2 linked regions of the Daphnia pulex genome follow. The protein of the gene in region 2 binds, or shares a complex with, the protein of the main gene of each other region. Links are inferred from orthologs where the notes say so. Each region holds a gene or a part of one and is shown on either strand. Other genes may lie near its edges.

The links. The genes of interacting proteins can lie anywhere in the genome.
Region 1: general transcription factor IIF subunit 2-like (region 2) and DNA-directed RNA polymerase II subunit RPB3-like share a complex: the UniProt entries of both Homo sapiens proteins name them as parts of the TBP-based Pol II pre-initiation complex. The link is inferred for Daphnia pulex from reciprocal best matches to the Homo sapiens genes GTF2F2 and POLR2C.

What each region holds. Positions count from the first base shown.
Region 1 is NC_060024.1:10,721,250-10,728,711, reverse strand, and holds DNA-directed RNA polymerase II subunit RPB3-like, read left to right. Parts: upstream 1-3,121; 5' UTR 3,122-3,228; coding exon 3,229-3,314; intron 3,315-3,373; coding exon 3,374-3,720; intron 3,721-3,785; coding exon 3,786-3,848; intron 3,849-3,907; coding exon 3,908-4,054; intron 4,055-4,120; coding exon 4,121-4,302; 3' UTR 4,303-4,373; downstream 4,374-7,462. Other genes in the region: neural cell adhesion molecule 1-like, read left to right, coding at 1-207, 405-573, 775-1,016; transmembrane protein 170A-like, read right to left, coding at 4,491-4,686, 4,749-4,854, 4,939-5,062. UniProt on the Homo sapiens protein: Core component of RNA polymerase II (Pol II), a DNA-dependent RNA polymerase which synthesizes mRNA precursors and many functional non-coding RNAs using the four ribonucleoside triphosphates as substrates.
Region 2 is NC_060025.1:403,874-410,119, reverse strand, and holds general transcription factor IIF subunit 2-like, read right to left. Parts: upstream 2,702-6,246; 5' UTR 2,548-2,701; coding exon 2,354-2,547; intron 2,285-2,353; coding exon 2,133-2,284; intron 2,007-2,132; coding exon 1,920-2,006; intron 1,856-1,919; coding exon 1,731-1,855; intron 1,671-1,730; coding exon 1,527-1,670; intron 1,468-1,526; coding exon 1,351-1,467; 3' UTR 1,136-1,350; downstream 1-1,135. UniProt on the Homo sapiens protein: TFIIF is a general transcription initiation factor that binds to RNA polymerase II and helps to recruit it to the initiation complex in collaboration with TFIIB.

The DNA.
Region 1 (7,462 bases), on a different chromosome or scaffold from region 2:
TGGATCAAGGACAACAAGACGCTGCATCCCAGCGACGACGTCCAGATCTTCAATTCGGATCATCACAGCTCGCTCCAACTTTACATTTACGACGAGTCCGTCTTTGGCGACTACGAGTGCCGGGCCACCAACATGCTGGGCACCATGGCCCGCGTCATCGTCCTGGAACAGGCCACCAAACCCTCAGCTCCTACTTTCAAAATCAAAGTCAGTTTCTCTCTCTACTCCGCTGCGGATCGCAGTTCAGGAATAATAATAAATAATAGTTTGACTTCCGGGAACTCTATAGAGCGGAAGGATCCAACCTAGTGTATCTGACTAATGCAATCAATATTGTGGCGTTCGTGACATCGTGACTAATGATAGCCCCTCATCCTTGATATACTTGTTTGTCATTCCGCTAGATTACACACCCGGATAGTTTCGTTTTGGAGATTGAAGAATCGGACGTGGTCTCGGATCGAGGTCAGGACGCTGGCGTCCGGAATCCAATGGACGTGACCGGCTACGTGGTGCAGTTCAAACAAGCGTCCCAGGAGTGGAGCCGGGCACAAGAAAAAGAATTCGAAAGAAGTAAGAAAAAGGCAAACTTGGAAACTGATATTATTATTCATCGTTGCACTTCCTCTCATCCGCTCAAGTCAATCCGCATAGCATTTACCATTCGTTTCTACTACATCAGCTGGGAAAAAGTTTCAGATTCTAATGCCTAAATCCGTCTGTGTGTGTTTTGTTTTTTCTTGTTTTTGTCGTTAACTTGATGACATAAAACAGTGCCCAGCCAGCCGTACAGAGTCGCCGGAATGCAGCAGGATACGACTTACGAAGTGAGGGTTGCAGCACGCACTGCGGCCGGCACCGGAGACTACGCCGACGTCCAGGTCGAGAAAACCAAGAAACTCGTAGCCGCGGCCGTGCCCGTTCTCAACTCAGCTCCGGCCCAGCAGCAGCTACTCTGTCACTCGCTCCTCACTCTATTGATCGCCGCACTGGCGTCCGCCAACATCTACATCTAAATACGAGTTACCATTTTTTTATTTTATTTTATTTTATTTCTTATTCTAGAAATATTTCAAAAGATAAAAGGGAAAATTCTCCTTCGCAACCGTTGCCCAGCCCCCCAGCTATACATACAAAAGCCGTTCTTATCAATTCGAATTTACTTTCTTTCTTTTTTCCAAGTAAAACAAAATAACGGAGGGAATTAAGTTTAAACTCTTTTTTTTCTATCATGAGGAGTTTTGAGTTTGAGGACTCCATTTTATTCCCCCGACTCATTTTTTTTTACTCGTCACACATCTCTCTCAATCAGTTTGTAAAGAAAATTAAAATAAAAATAATAAAAATAAAAACAAAAAAAATCAAATTAAGGGAGGCCAGCGCTGATATAAGTTTTTTCAAACAAAATAAAAAGCCGAATTTTTAAAAATTTTAATTTTGATTCATATATTTCTTTCATTGGGGCCTGATAAGATTTTTTTTTAAAGATGATAGTAATCTTTTTGTACATATTTTTTCTTTTCCTCTTATATAATAACCCTCGGTTCCAGAAATATTGTGCGCTAATTAGAATAATATTGAGTGGCCGTTCTCTCATCCTCCCCCTTATACCAGTTCCTCCAACTTTATATCTCTATGGCTTTACGTGTGTGTTTAGCATTTCCTTCGAGAAGCCCCCCAGGTAGACACCTATAAACTAAGTATATCGAATGGCAAGGATTTAGCAGCTCCTACTCTCTACCTTTGCCCCAATCGTCCCTCCTCAGCTCAGTCCTTAATATTACATGGCTTTTGACGCGTTTGATGACATAATCTTTGGTTTTTGTATTTTAAAAAGTCAAAGTTTACTGGTGTGTTGGGGGGGGGGGAATATACAGCGGGGGATGTACAATGTTCAAATTACTTTTGATCCCTCGACTCTGTTCGCTTTCCTTTTTTATTCTACGATGAAAATTGATCCCGTTTCGTAGATTTTGAATGATAATTTGAATTCAAAAACTGGACGGCAAGAAACGATATGATTACCTTCGAGTATTGGTTTCCTTCATTTTTCTTTTTCAAGTGAAAAAGAACCGACGTCGATGTGCATAATGCATACAATTTGCATACGGTATTGAAAAAAACAAACAGATACTCATTTGGTATAAATTTAGATTTTTCTTTCTTTTTTTTGAGAAAGAGAGATTGCGGAATTTTGCATTATCCTTACGTAACCTTGGGTTTTTTTAAATTTATGTACATGTCAAAAAATTTCTTTTTTTATGTTTCCTTATATTTCCCACACTTCCGGCTGTACACCACATTTTGATAAAAATAACTTTGGGTTCTCATCATTTAATTATTATGATATGCGTGTAGTTTTTATTTTTTCATTTTTTTTATTTTAATATCATTAGCTGTGTAATATTTCCGTGATGCCAAACATACAACTGTCATCTAGAATGAGATTTTTATTCGTTGATTGAAAAAAAAAAAATTCTTTCTAAACAGTTAACCGCGTTTAGCCAAAGTTTCTTCCAGATTGGGACCCGCGCAATTGGAATGTCGTAATATTGGGTGACGTGTCATCAGATCCTCAATCCATCATGGCGAACTTCCTGTACTTCCTTCGATACCGGTAACTTTTTGGACCTTGGATCGGACGATTCGTTTGACGCCATTTCGTCGCACCTGAACCGAAAAGAATTTCACAAGTTAAAAATCTGAAGAAAGCCAAGTTATGATATCTAAATATAAACAATAACTATTTCAACACTGTATTCAAAAAGTGAATTGCACTTCAAAATAAATATGAACAGTCTGGTGAGTCAATTTACGTTGGTTAAGCCGTTAAAAGCGGCGCACATTCTGATGCGCGATAGGAGAGGAAAACAAAACATGGTTTATATTTCCCAATATTTAGTCGAAACAATTTCTAAATAATGGAAACGGTGTATCGAATTCTTTCATCAAAAAATAAATCTACAAACCAATAATACGCAATCAACATCTTCAACATTAAACTTCCAAAATTTTAGAAAAAATTTCAATTTTTAGAAAAATGAAATTTTCCCGCACAGCCTTCGTAATACCTGCCATCTGGTGACAGAATAAGGAGGTTCTTGTACACGACTCATTGTTTGGGCTAGCTTGTTGCAGACTTGCAGAAGGAAGCGAGAGTCGAAACGAGAAGCCGGCAAGTAATTATTCTTAACGTTTGTTGTTTTGAATAATACAACTTACTTAAGAATGCCCTACGCCAATCAACCAAATCTCAAATTGACCGAACTAACAGAGGAAAATGTTAAATTTCAGATTTCAGACACAGACCTTAGGTATTTACTTAAATTGTTGGTAATGAGAACATTTATATCATGCCTTTATCACATTTCAGTGTAGCAAACTCTCTGAGGCGAGTCTTCATTGCTGAAACCCCTACATTAGCCATTGATTGGGTCCAGTTTGAAGCAAATTCCACTGTCTTGTTTGATGAATTTTTGGCACATCGTGTGGGTCTTATTCCACTGACTAGTGATGACTCTGTTGAAAAGATGCAGTATTCCAGAGACTGCACTTGTCCAGATTTCTGTGTTGATTGCTCAGTGGAGTTCACTTTGGATGTTAAATGTTCTGAGGATGTTACACGCAATGTCACCACTGCTGATCTAAAGAGTACTGATCCAAGAGTGGTTCCAGCTACCTCCAAACGGGATGAAGAGCCACCAGATGACAATGATAATGGTACTGCAGAACATTTCTAAAGTTTGGAATCTGAGTTTGATTATAAATTTTTTTGTTTGTTTTAGAAATTTTAATTGTCAAGCTTCGTAAAGGACAAGAACTCAAAATGCGGGCATATGCCAAGAAAGGTAAATTTTGTTGCAGTTCAATTTGTTTCTCCTTCTTGAAAATATATATTTTTTTTTAGGTTTTGGTAAAGAACATGCAAAATGGAATCCAACAGCTGGAGTGGCCTTTGAGTACGACCCTGATAATTCATTGAGGCATACTTTGTTCCCGAAACCTGAAGAATGGCCAAGGAGTGAATATTCGGAGCTGGGCGAATCAGATCAACGTAATTTTTAAACGAATTTTTATGGTTTAACTAGTTTTATTTGAATTTTTATTTATTTATTTTTAGATGAAGCCCCATACGATCCTGATGGCAAACCTAACAAATTTTTTGTTAACGTGGAATCTTGTGGATCTTTACGACCAGAAAATATTGTCTTAATGGGAATCGCTATTCTCAAGAAGAAACTTTCTGATTTGCAGACCCAATTGAGCCACGAAGTGCAAAACGATGCCCTCGCCATCAACTGATTTTCCATTTTGTTCGAAATAATTGTAATGGTTTTGTATTAATGCAATTAATACACGAAGAATTAAGTAAAGCCGAATATCATCAAACTTATTTAATTTGTCTTATAAGATCTCAGGTGGACATGGAGTAAAAAAGGAACTTATGTAGCACAGCAAAATATGGTGAATATGAAAAATACATTGGTGATCTATAATACTGCAAGAATTCTAGTGAAGCCAAAACAAGCACTGCAGAATGTTTGTCCCACACCCCAAAGTGCAACATGCCATCTAGCCATGACTAGTCCTGAGTTTTCATACACAAATGACACAACTGCGCTTGTCACTGCACCTGTTGTTAGAGGTGTGATAATTCCCATCAAAAGAATTATGATGGAGTAAAACCTATTGCCAAAAGATTATATTTAGTTGTAACAGAATATGTGGAATGCTTAGGTATATTTTACCTTCCAACTGCATGCTTCCTTAATGTCAGAAATGCAATTATGGCAGCAACGGAATGAATGAAGATGGAAGAAAACATTGCCCACAAGAAAACGTTGTACCACATTTCTAGATGTATTGGGCATTGAATATTTTTATTATAGGTAACATGTTTCCTCTAAATTTAATATGTGGGTGAAAAAAAAATAATACCAAAGAACTCTTCAAGAGGAGCATTTGGTTTGTTCCAGATTTTTTCGAGGATGAAATCCATGTTAGAACTAGTTGACTGCGAGCCATCAGCAGATATTGGTGTTTGAATCATAGTGAGCTGCATTTTGCTATGCAGTGTTATCGCTCAGAACGATATCTGTCGCAGTGTTGTAAATCAGTTTGCTAATAGCAAGATAAAGAATAATTGATGGATGATAGCTTACAACGGAGCACGCGTAAAATAGACACCCAATAGCTGGGAAGCTGACTATCTTACGAAATTAAATTATACATGTTCTGTTTTGTAGATTAGTCATTATTGTTTACTTATTGTAACAACTTGGTACGCTACACATTGTAACACGATTCTATGAAAATGTAAATAAAGGCAGATAAGGTGGCTACTGGCTAGCAAAACCTGGTGGTGAAAATAGTTAGCTCTTGCTTCGTTTATCGTGAGGGAATCTTTTGGCTGTCGGTAGGTGGCTAAAATGGATTTCCCCCATCCACCAGGTGGCGCGAGTGTCTTCGTGAGGACGAAATATTTGTCATTTGTTTCCGAGACGCTGACCAAAAGTGTATTCCAAATTCATAACGTAATTACAGTGTCAATCTTCATTTTCAGCCATGAAATTTTATCTATGACGTTTCTGTCTGAATTTACAGGCAATTTTGGCATATAGTTTCACTTGGCCAAATAATGTAACGACGTGGGTCGAAACTGTTGTCCATTTTGTCGAAATGTCGGTCATTGTTAGCTGTACGTCTCATCTCGTGCAGAAACACTTCAGAGCTAGTAAAGTAAATTTTGTTGATCAATTTCTCTGCAATAATGCAATAGGTTTTATTAGTTGATTTTTCAGATCAGAGATGGAGATCACTTTGCTCAACTGTTGTAGAAGTTGAGAACATGACAAAGTCTGAGCTTCATGGCAGTCATATCATTAATTTTGTTTTTGTTGCAGCCAGCTGGGGAAAGGTGTGGTCGAGTCCTGTTGAGCTGCAGGTGCTGCATGCAGTTTATCAAGCTGGTGTTATCCCATCCCTAGTGTTACTGCAGGAAAACTTCTTGAATTGGTAATTTGATTGATATTATTGGTTGTAACTTGGGAAGTCTTGAGTTTTTTTTTTTTTTTTTTTTAATTTTGATTGAACTGACAAGTTATGTGATGAAGAAAATTAAGGGTAACATTTTTTTCTTCCAAATAATTGTTTCTTCAAAAGGAAGCTACATTGTTGGTCAGCTTTCAGCCTTTCACTGAGTTAACAATTTCCTTCACATCAAACTAGAACAAAAATTCCCACTCAGTATTAACAAGTTTATAACATATTGGAAGTAGATGTACATAATTCTTTTCTGGTATCTTTTTCAATTAAAATTAATTGTTAATTTTAAATTAAGTAAATTTTATTATCAGTACCCTTTTTCACATTTCATATAGTTTCATTAATGTTCTTTTGCTTTGTAGGAGTTCATGGTCGGTTTGAGCTGTTTACGGTGTTGCTGTTTGGACTACAGTGGTTTTGCAGTCCCTTCCAGTTGAGAGATGCTCTGAAATGGATTCTTGTTCACACTTGCAGTTCAACATCACACTTAAATTTGTCATTTGCCTATATTTGTGTCCGTGCAGTATATGCCGTGTTGAAAAGTTGGGTTAGTCAATGTTGCCTGATGGCTGTCGGTCTTGTTTTATCGGCTGCATTTTGTCGATATGTCGTCTCTTGTTACCTGTACAGGTGTTGAGGTAATGCTTGGTGTTTCGTTCAGTTACAGGTGCATATCTGGGCTCCCTTCTTCAGTGGCCCCGTTTCCCTAAATAACCACTAACCAACGCCCGCCGGTGGTCACTCACTCGCTGCGACAACCAGGAGGAAGGGAGATGTTTGGTCGAACGGGGACTTGCAAGGCGCATGATTCGATGAAATCTGTTGAAGGGTCATGAGTCTAAGCCGGAAGCCTACCATGATGCATTGCTCTCATAATAACTGCTCTTCAGCTCTCTTCGCTCTTTTTCCGGGTTCTCTTAACCACGGCCGGGTAATCTCCCTGGTAGAGTCAGTCGGGCAGTGTCTCCCCCTGCTTGACTGGCTGCAGTTTTTACCGGACGGTTTGTTTAATAAATAAAACAAGTATAAAAAACCATATAATGTTTTCATTTTATAAATTGTTATTCATTAATTAAATATGTATAGATAACAACTTGATTAACAAGCATATTTATACAACATTGTTTATGAAACAGACCGTCCGGCACAAACTCTTAGTTAGTACTATTGCTCAAAAACTGATTCTCTTGAATCAGCAGACTCGAGAGTTTATAGTGCCGTCAAGGTAGATATTTCTGAATGGCACCCGTCTTGTCAACTGCTAATGATTCATGTTCTTGGTTTGACAGAAGCTGTGTTGTGTTTGTTGATCGTCTCCACCATGCACGCGATAATCAAGACCAGCAACGTCTTGATCAAGAAGAAGAAAAGAACGGAGAAGCAAAGAACGACGATGTAAATAGCGGGGTGGGTACCG
Region 2 (6,246 bases):
GGTCTACGAGAGGAAGAAGGAATACACAGTACTTTTTCTGTAGACGAAGTTGACAAGCCCAGCATTGCCTCCTTCTCAACCCCCTCTTTCGGAATTCATCTTCCCACATAATTTATTTCAGTTTGCTTTTTAAAATTTTTTCAACTATCATTATAGAAATAATAAATTATAAACAAGTTTAATTGGTTCATATTTGTTTAAAAGATTTCAAAAGTTTTATTGTAGATTTTCCATCTGTCAACTCCGACAGGAAGTCCGAAATTCAACAGCGTTGGACGAAATCAAATGTTATAAGTAGGACTGTAAAACGCCATTTGAAGCATGTGAAGCTCCCCCATCTGGTTTGATTGCTGCTAGCCAGTTTTGTATTCGTTTCGGTAAATATCTTATTTAATTCATGCAACTAAGACTGAATTTTGCATTCCTTTGAACCACACTAGCTCTACTTAGCTTATAGTGGCCAAGCGGACATGCTAAATTAAAATTTATTCTGATCTACCGTTGTCTCCTTATTTGGAACACATGGATTGAACCGAATTAAAACATTTGATAGTAGTAACATAAAGTAATTGATGTTGAAGGCACTGAGGCACACTGTGGATAATTTGTTGAAGTGTGCTTTAAATGGTTTTCTATGATGTTGAAATGCTAATTCTTATTCTGTTGTTGTACAGGAACCCTCACATCGCTACCTGAAGTTGCAGATTTCCTGGTGAAATAATTCTGTTTGGTGTATTTTATAGTATCTATATTGACAAATAAACAATTTTTAAAATTACATTCTGGCAAATTGTAACTAGTGAAAATTAAAACAAATTAATTTGTAGATAACTATATTCAGCGTTAAATTGTTGGTTGAATCATGGTTGGATGATGAATCTCATCAAGAGACAGGCTGTTGCTATTCTAATAGATTATGGCTTTTGACTGAGATAATATAATGTTAACTGTAAGTAGGGTACCATGAAAAGCTGTAAATATTAACATGTAACCTTTTACTTGATTCTTGTTTTTACAATCTTACGATTCTGTTTAAAAGGGGTTCCTCGTTAGCACATAAGCCTACTTTTCGCACTGAACTCGCTCATGAAATCATTTCTTCCTGATATGGTTGGGATAAATTATATTGGTAAAATTTTCAAGTTCGCATCGATGTATTGGACCACACACTTGTTAGCACGGGAATTTTTAGACGAAGGGAAAATTGTAGCCTAAGAGAACATTTTATCGAACAATTTCAAGGGCAGTTGAAACCCATTTGAGTTATCTGAAGTTATGTGCATCCAAGAGCTGTTTAGTAGTTTTCTGAAAATCACAGCTTTATTAGAAAGTTAATGGACTGTTTACTTATTAGTCCTTGTCTTCATCTTTGTAGTGGCGGTATTCCGGTTTCAGTTCCCACATGTTTTTGTGAGGATTCTTCAAATTGTATACACAAACATCCTTCAAAATTTCCTTGAGGTAGGTCTATAAAAGCAGAGGGTTTTAAAAGTGCAAATGCTTGTATGAAAACAACTTTTTCTTACCACAGGTTGGTTGGTGAGTTTTACCAAGTCCTTGATGTTGTAGTACTGATGCTTTTCAAAAGCTGCAAACAGCATGTCCATAACTTTGCCCTTATCATCTCTGGCTTTCTTACCCTCAGCTTTCTTCTTTTCGTCGAATTCTTTCTGTAATCAGGAATAAAAGGTTATGATGTACCAAAAATAGACGAGAATTGCTATATTTACATTATGCTTGTGGTCAGAGATGGGTTTGTAACTTTGAACCACTCGATCCAATTGCTTCACAATTCTTGTAGGTTGGGCAGCTTTAATCAAAGAATCCCTTTTGAGTTTCATGTAACTTGCATTTGCTGATGAAAATAAAAATCATTAATGCTCACTTCAAGCTTAGGAACTTTATTTTGTTGGTCTCACCTGTTGGTCTACATTCAAGCTTCTGGGCAACTTTGCCTTCAAATATGATCTTCTCAGTTTCCATAGGTGAGTTCGCGGTGGCTGGAGCTGGGGAAACAATACAAAAATGTCAATATTAAATTAGATTAATTGCAAGCACGCCACTTTAAATATCATGCTTTAAGCTCAGGCCTAAAATAAAAATCTTCCCCATAACTGTCAAGTAGTACGTACTGGTTTGTTGAGAAAATACACCCAATGTTTGTGAAGTAATGTGTGAAACAATCAATCCATGCTCTTTAGGAATAGGTTCCTCTCCTTTTTCCTGGAGACACATAATAGCTTCCGACAGAATAAGTTTGACTTGAGACTTTTGTCCTTGCACCCTGAACAAGAGTTGTAATGAGTTAATAAAGGATTTGTCGATTTGTTAACATAAACCAATTGATGCATACCTAGTAATATTCAGTTGTCCAGCTGTAATATTTCCAGGGCATTTATCCCATCGACTTGAAATGTATTTTGGTACTTTCACCAACCAAACACCCCGACTAGCTGAAGACATTTCCATTTCCCTTTCATAAACGATGACATCTTTGTCTTTCTCCTTGTCTTTCTCTTTTTCTTTCTCCTTTTTCTTTGACTCCATGGTTTTCAGTTTTAAAAATTCTGCTTCAACGTACTAGAAAAACCTATTCAAGAGAATGTAGTTCTAAATATTGGCCGGCTTTAATAAAACAAGTAATCGTTTCTTCTTTCAATCGACAACGTCACACAACTGAAAAGGTCTTCAAGTCTATCGTCTGCTATAAATCGCGCCAGAGCGCGTTCTTTTGTTTTATTAGATAAGTTTACGCAACCATCAGTTCGTCAACGCATTTTTCTTTAATAAAACCCCCCAAAAATCGAAATGGCATGGAAATTTAATGGCCTTAAAAAAAATAACTGATCAAATTTGTTGTTGCACAATCCCTTTAATAAGCTTTTAACAGGAAATAGTTTGATTGGCCAACATTTTTTCATTTAGCTTTTTACTCCTCCTCAAATGTAACCCTGATTGCATATCTCAATGCTCAAATCTCAAATTTGTTTCAGTATGAATTCCCTAATATTATTATTATTATTATTTTCTTGCCTTTCTAGATTTATAGGAATTTGCAAATCAGGACGTCTATCTGTGTAACTTTCAGACGCGGAATAATGTGGTATTTTTCATAACGCCCCGTGAGAAGTGATTCGGAATGTTTGGAATTTTAATAAGTACGAAATCACCGGAATGCCTGGCCAAGTATATAATCGCCCTCTGAAACAAAGCAGAAACTGGGAAACCTCTTTTTGTACTAGTTGGTCTGATTCGATCGGAATATGTATTACCACTTGTAACTGGATTCAAAATCAAACAATTCTACGAAATCGAGAAAGTTATAACAACTAGATTGGTACTTAAGGCGATGTCTTGTGGGGGGACAATGTCCGTCCACTAACTCCTTTTACTATAATTGAGTTCTATCACTAGTACGAATTGCTATACATGTATAACATAGATTTGTCTAAACAAGAGATGGCGAAACGGTAAAAATAAAAAGAGCACAGCAATTTGAAATTCTAAACGGGTTTCCCTTTCTCATGGTGGCCGCTGGTGGCGGAATCAAGAAGCTGACGACCAGGCCAGCACTCCACTCCGTGATCGAATATACAACATACTTGATTGCGCTTTGAAATGGACAGTGCGAGAGAATAGAAACATATATTTTAGTTTGAAAGTTGTATACACTAGTCCAAGATAATTGAAAGAAATTATCTACCGAAGAAAGAACGAATAGGCTATTTTAAATTTGATCATTTTACACTGGTGAGTATAAGCTATAGTGAGTCTAAATATTCTTGTCGAATGCAAACGAACAGAGAATAAAAGTCATAACCCAAGTTGCGGTTATCGCACTTTAAACTGCAATTTGTATTCCAATTAGTACATTCAAGGTGATTAAGAAAATGTGTGAATTAAATATTAGGCTATTAATTCGGTTATTGCGATTTATTAAAAGATATTTCATATTCAACCTATGATTCTTTCATTGTTATTTATTTCATAATAAAATCAAAGAGTAAGAAAACATTTTATGAGCTTTTATGAAAGTAAAGTTGTGCAGCCAACAATCTCAAGTATGCCATCGCTTCAAGACCAACTCTTCCAGGAACACATAAAATCATGAATATTTAATTTCGCCATTCGTCTTCACGGCTAATTTTTCTTGCCTCTTGCGTCTTGCAATGTGTGAGTTCTAATTAGTTTAATTACTATTCTCCAGCTTCCTACCGTCTCCCTCTAAGCCAAAAAATAAAAATAAAATAAAAAACAACTTTTTTTAATTAGTGAACCCATGAAAGTTAAAGAGAAAAAATATGAAGGATGATCCGTGACCGCCCATGTGACTGGATTTAATACGTTATCCTGTCTATTTTAATCTTTACAATAACAATAACAATCTGCAACAATTATGAATAGAGAAATTTCTAATTGATCGCAAAAGTACAGACTACTAAAACAGAAATGACAAATGTGTCGCGCATTATCTGACCTATATATAAACGCCACATCGCTCATTGGCGATCATAAAATGCTACCTTGCCCCCACTAGATAACACAGAAAAATAAGAAAATAAAAAACCGTCACCTGTCGGCCAAATTGGAATCATCGGTTAGCTCACAAAGAATATTCCCTGCTCCACCCCCATCGGTCTTATTTTAAAAAAAGTTCCTACCCTGAAAGTCGTCGTCGTCGGCAACCATCGTCGTTTTCTTTCGGGCTGTTTAAGTATGCTGGGCGCATATACATTGGTTGCTGCGAGTAGTATCATTACGGGCGTAAATAGACATACACCTTTGCGATTTTTATAGCGTGTCGGGAGACTTGTAGCCCAGCGGGAAGAAACGAAAAAAACCGGTTGACGAACGAATAAGTCGCGTAATAAATCATCAACTTTCTCTACCTACAACATGATGACATGAAACGTCCAAGACAGCTGGATTTTTTTCTTTTCTTTCTTTCATTCTATCAAACACTCCCGATTCTTAGAATATCGCCGAGTGGCTGGCACATCAACTCTTATACGTATAGTTGCTCATTGCATAACAATCTTACCCAAAAGGAATATTATAAATCTAAAAGAAAATAAAATACAGGGTCGCTAAATCAAAAATAACCCATTTGTAGATACTGGGAATAAAACTCTGGCTTGATAGTTTCAATCATCGATAACAGTCAAAATGTATAACCTGACATAACCGGTAACTAAAAATTCTAGAAGCGCATCTAGCGAGCAATATATAGAGCTAGTGGCTTGTGTCACCCAGGGTATACAGTATATAGCGCTTATAACAAAATCATGTGTCTAATTCGTAAGTAGGCTAGTGTATACACGTCTAGCTCGAGGCCATGGGAAATAAATGGACCACTTTCCCTGAACCCAGTTACCCAGCGTTTCGCTTCGAGTCATCAGCCAGCCAGCCAGCCACACTCTTCACGGTTGCTGGCATCGCAGGAATTCTCTCCATGCGTAGATACGAAAATACCGTTGCCAAGCAGCGCACTCTATTAGCCGTAAAATTAGAACATCATCAAAAAGATATTTTTTTTTTAATGAGAAAAACTGGGAAAATGCGAAAATGTTTTTCCAAAATTAAAAAAACTAAAAAAAAACTAACGTGACAAGGTGTAATTATACAGGTGAACCCTCGCGTTTCCCTTTTTTGCGTCAGCAGAAACCGGTGGTTATATTCTATCCATGGCGCACATCTATGCAGCGCGCATATGCACACACACACAGCCAGTGCCAAATTGGTGATGAGGGGAAAGTTAATTGACTTATAAGAGCTGGGCGCGAGCGCATTGTTGTTGTTCGCTGGATGTTCCACCGACTTCTGGCCCGTCAAAATGATCAGCCAAAAGTTCTTTTTTTTTCCCATTATGTTGCGCATTCCTGATGTAACGGCCAACATCCATATAAGCGCACAAGCCCACCACCCCCACTAGAAAATAAAAATCGTGGTTTATTTATAGCGCGCCTATCTTTGCATAATCACAACCAAGGGATAGATAGAGAGAGATATGGTCTGTTGAAAAATTCAGTGATATTCCATCAAGCATTTAGGCGAGGGCGACGTTATAATTCGATGACGAAACAGCAGCTCAGCCAAAAAGGGGGTCGTTGACGGCTTGGATGTTGTTTCGCTGTTACATACAAGCTTCGACATAGAGTAAACCTGTTGGACAGGTTGAAAAAGTCGATGGAAAGTTAGGCACAAATGGGCTGCTGGCGCAGGCTCTTTATTTATTTTTGTTTTTCG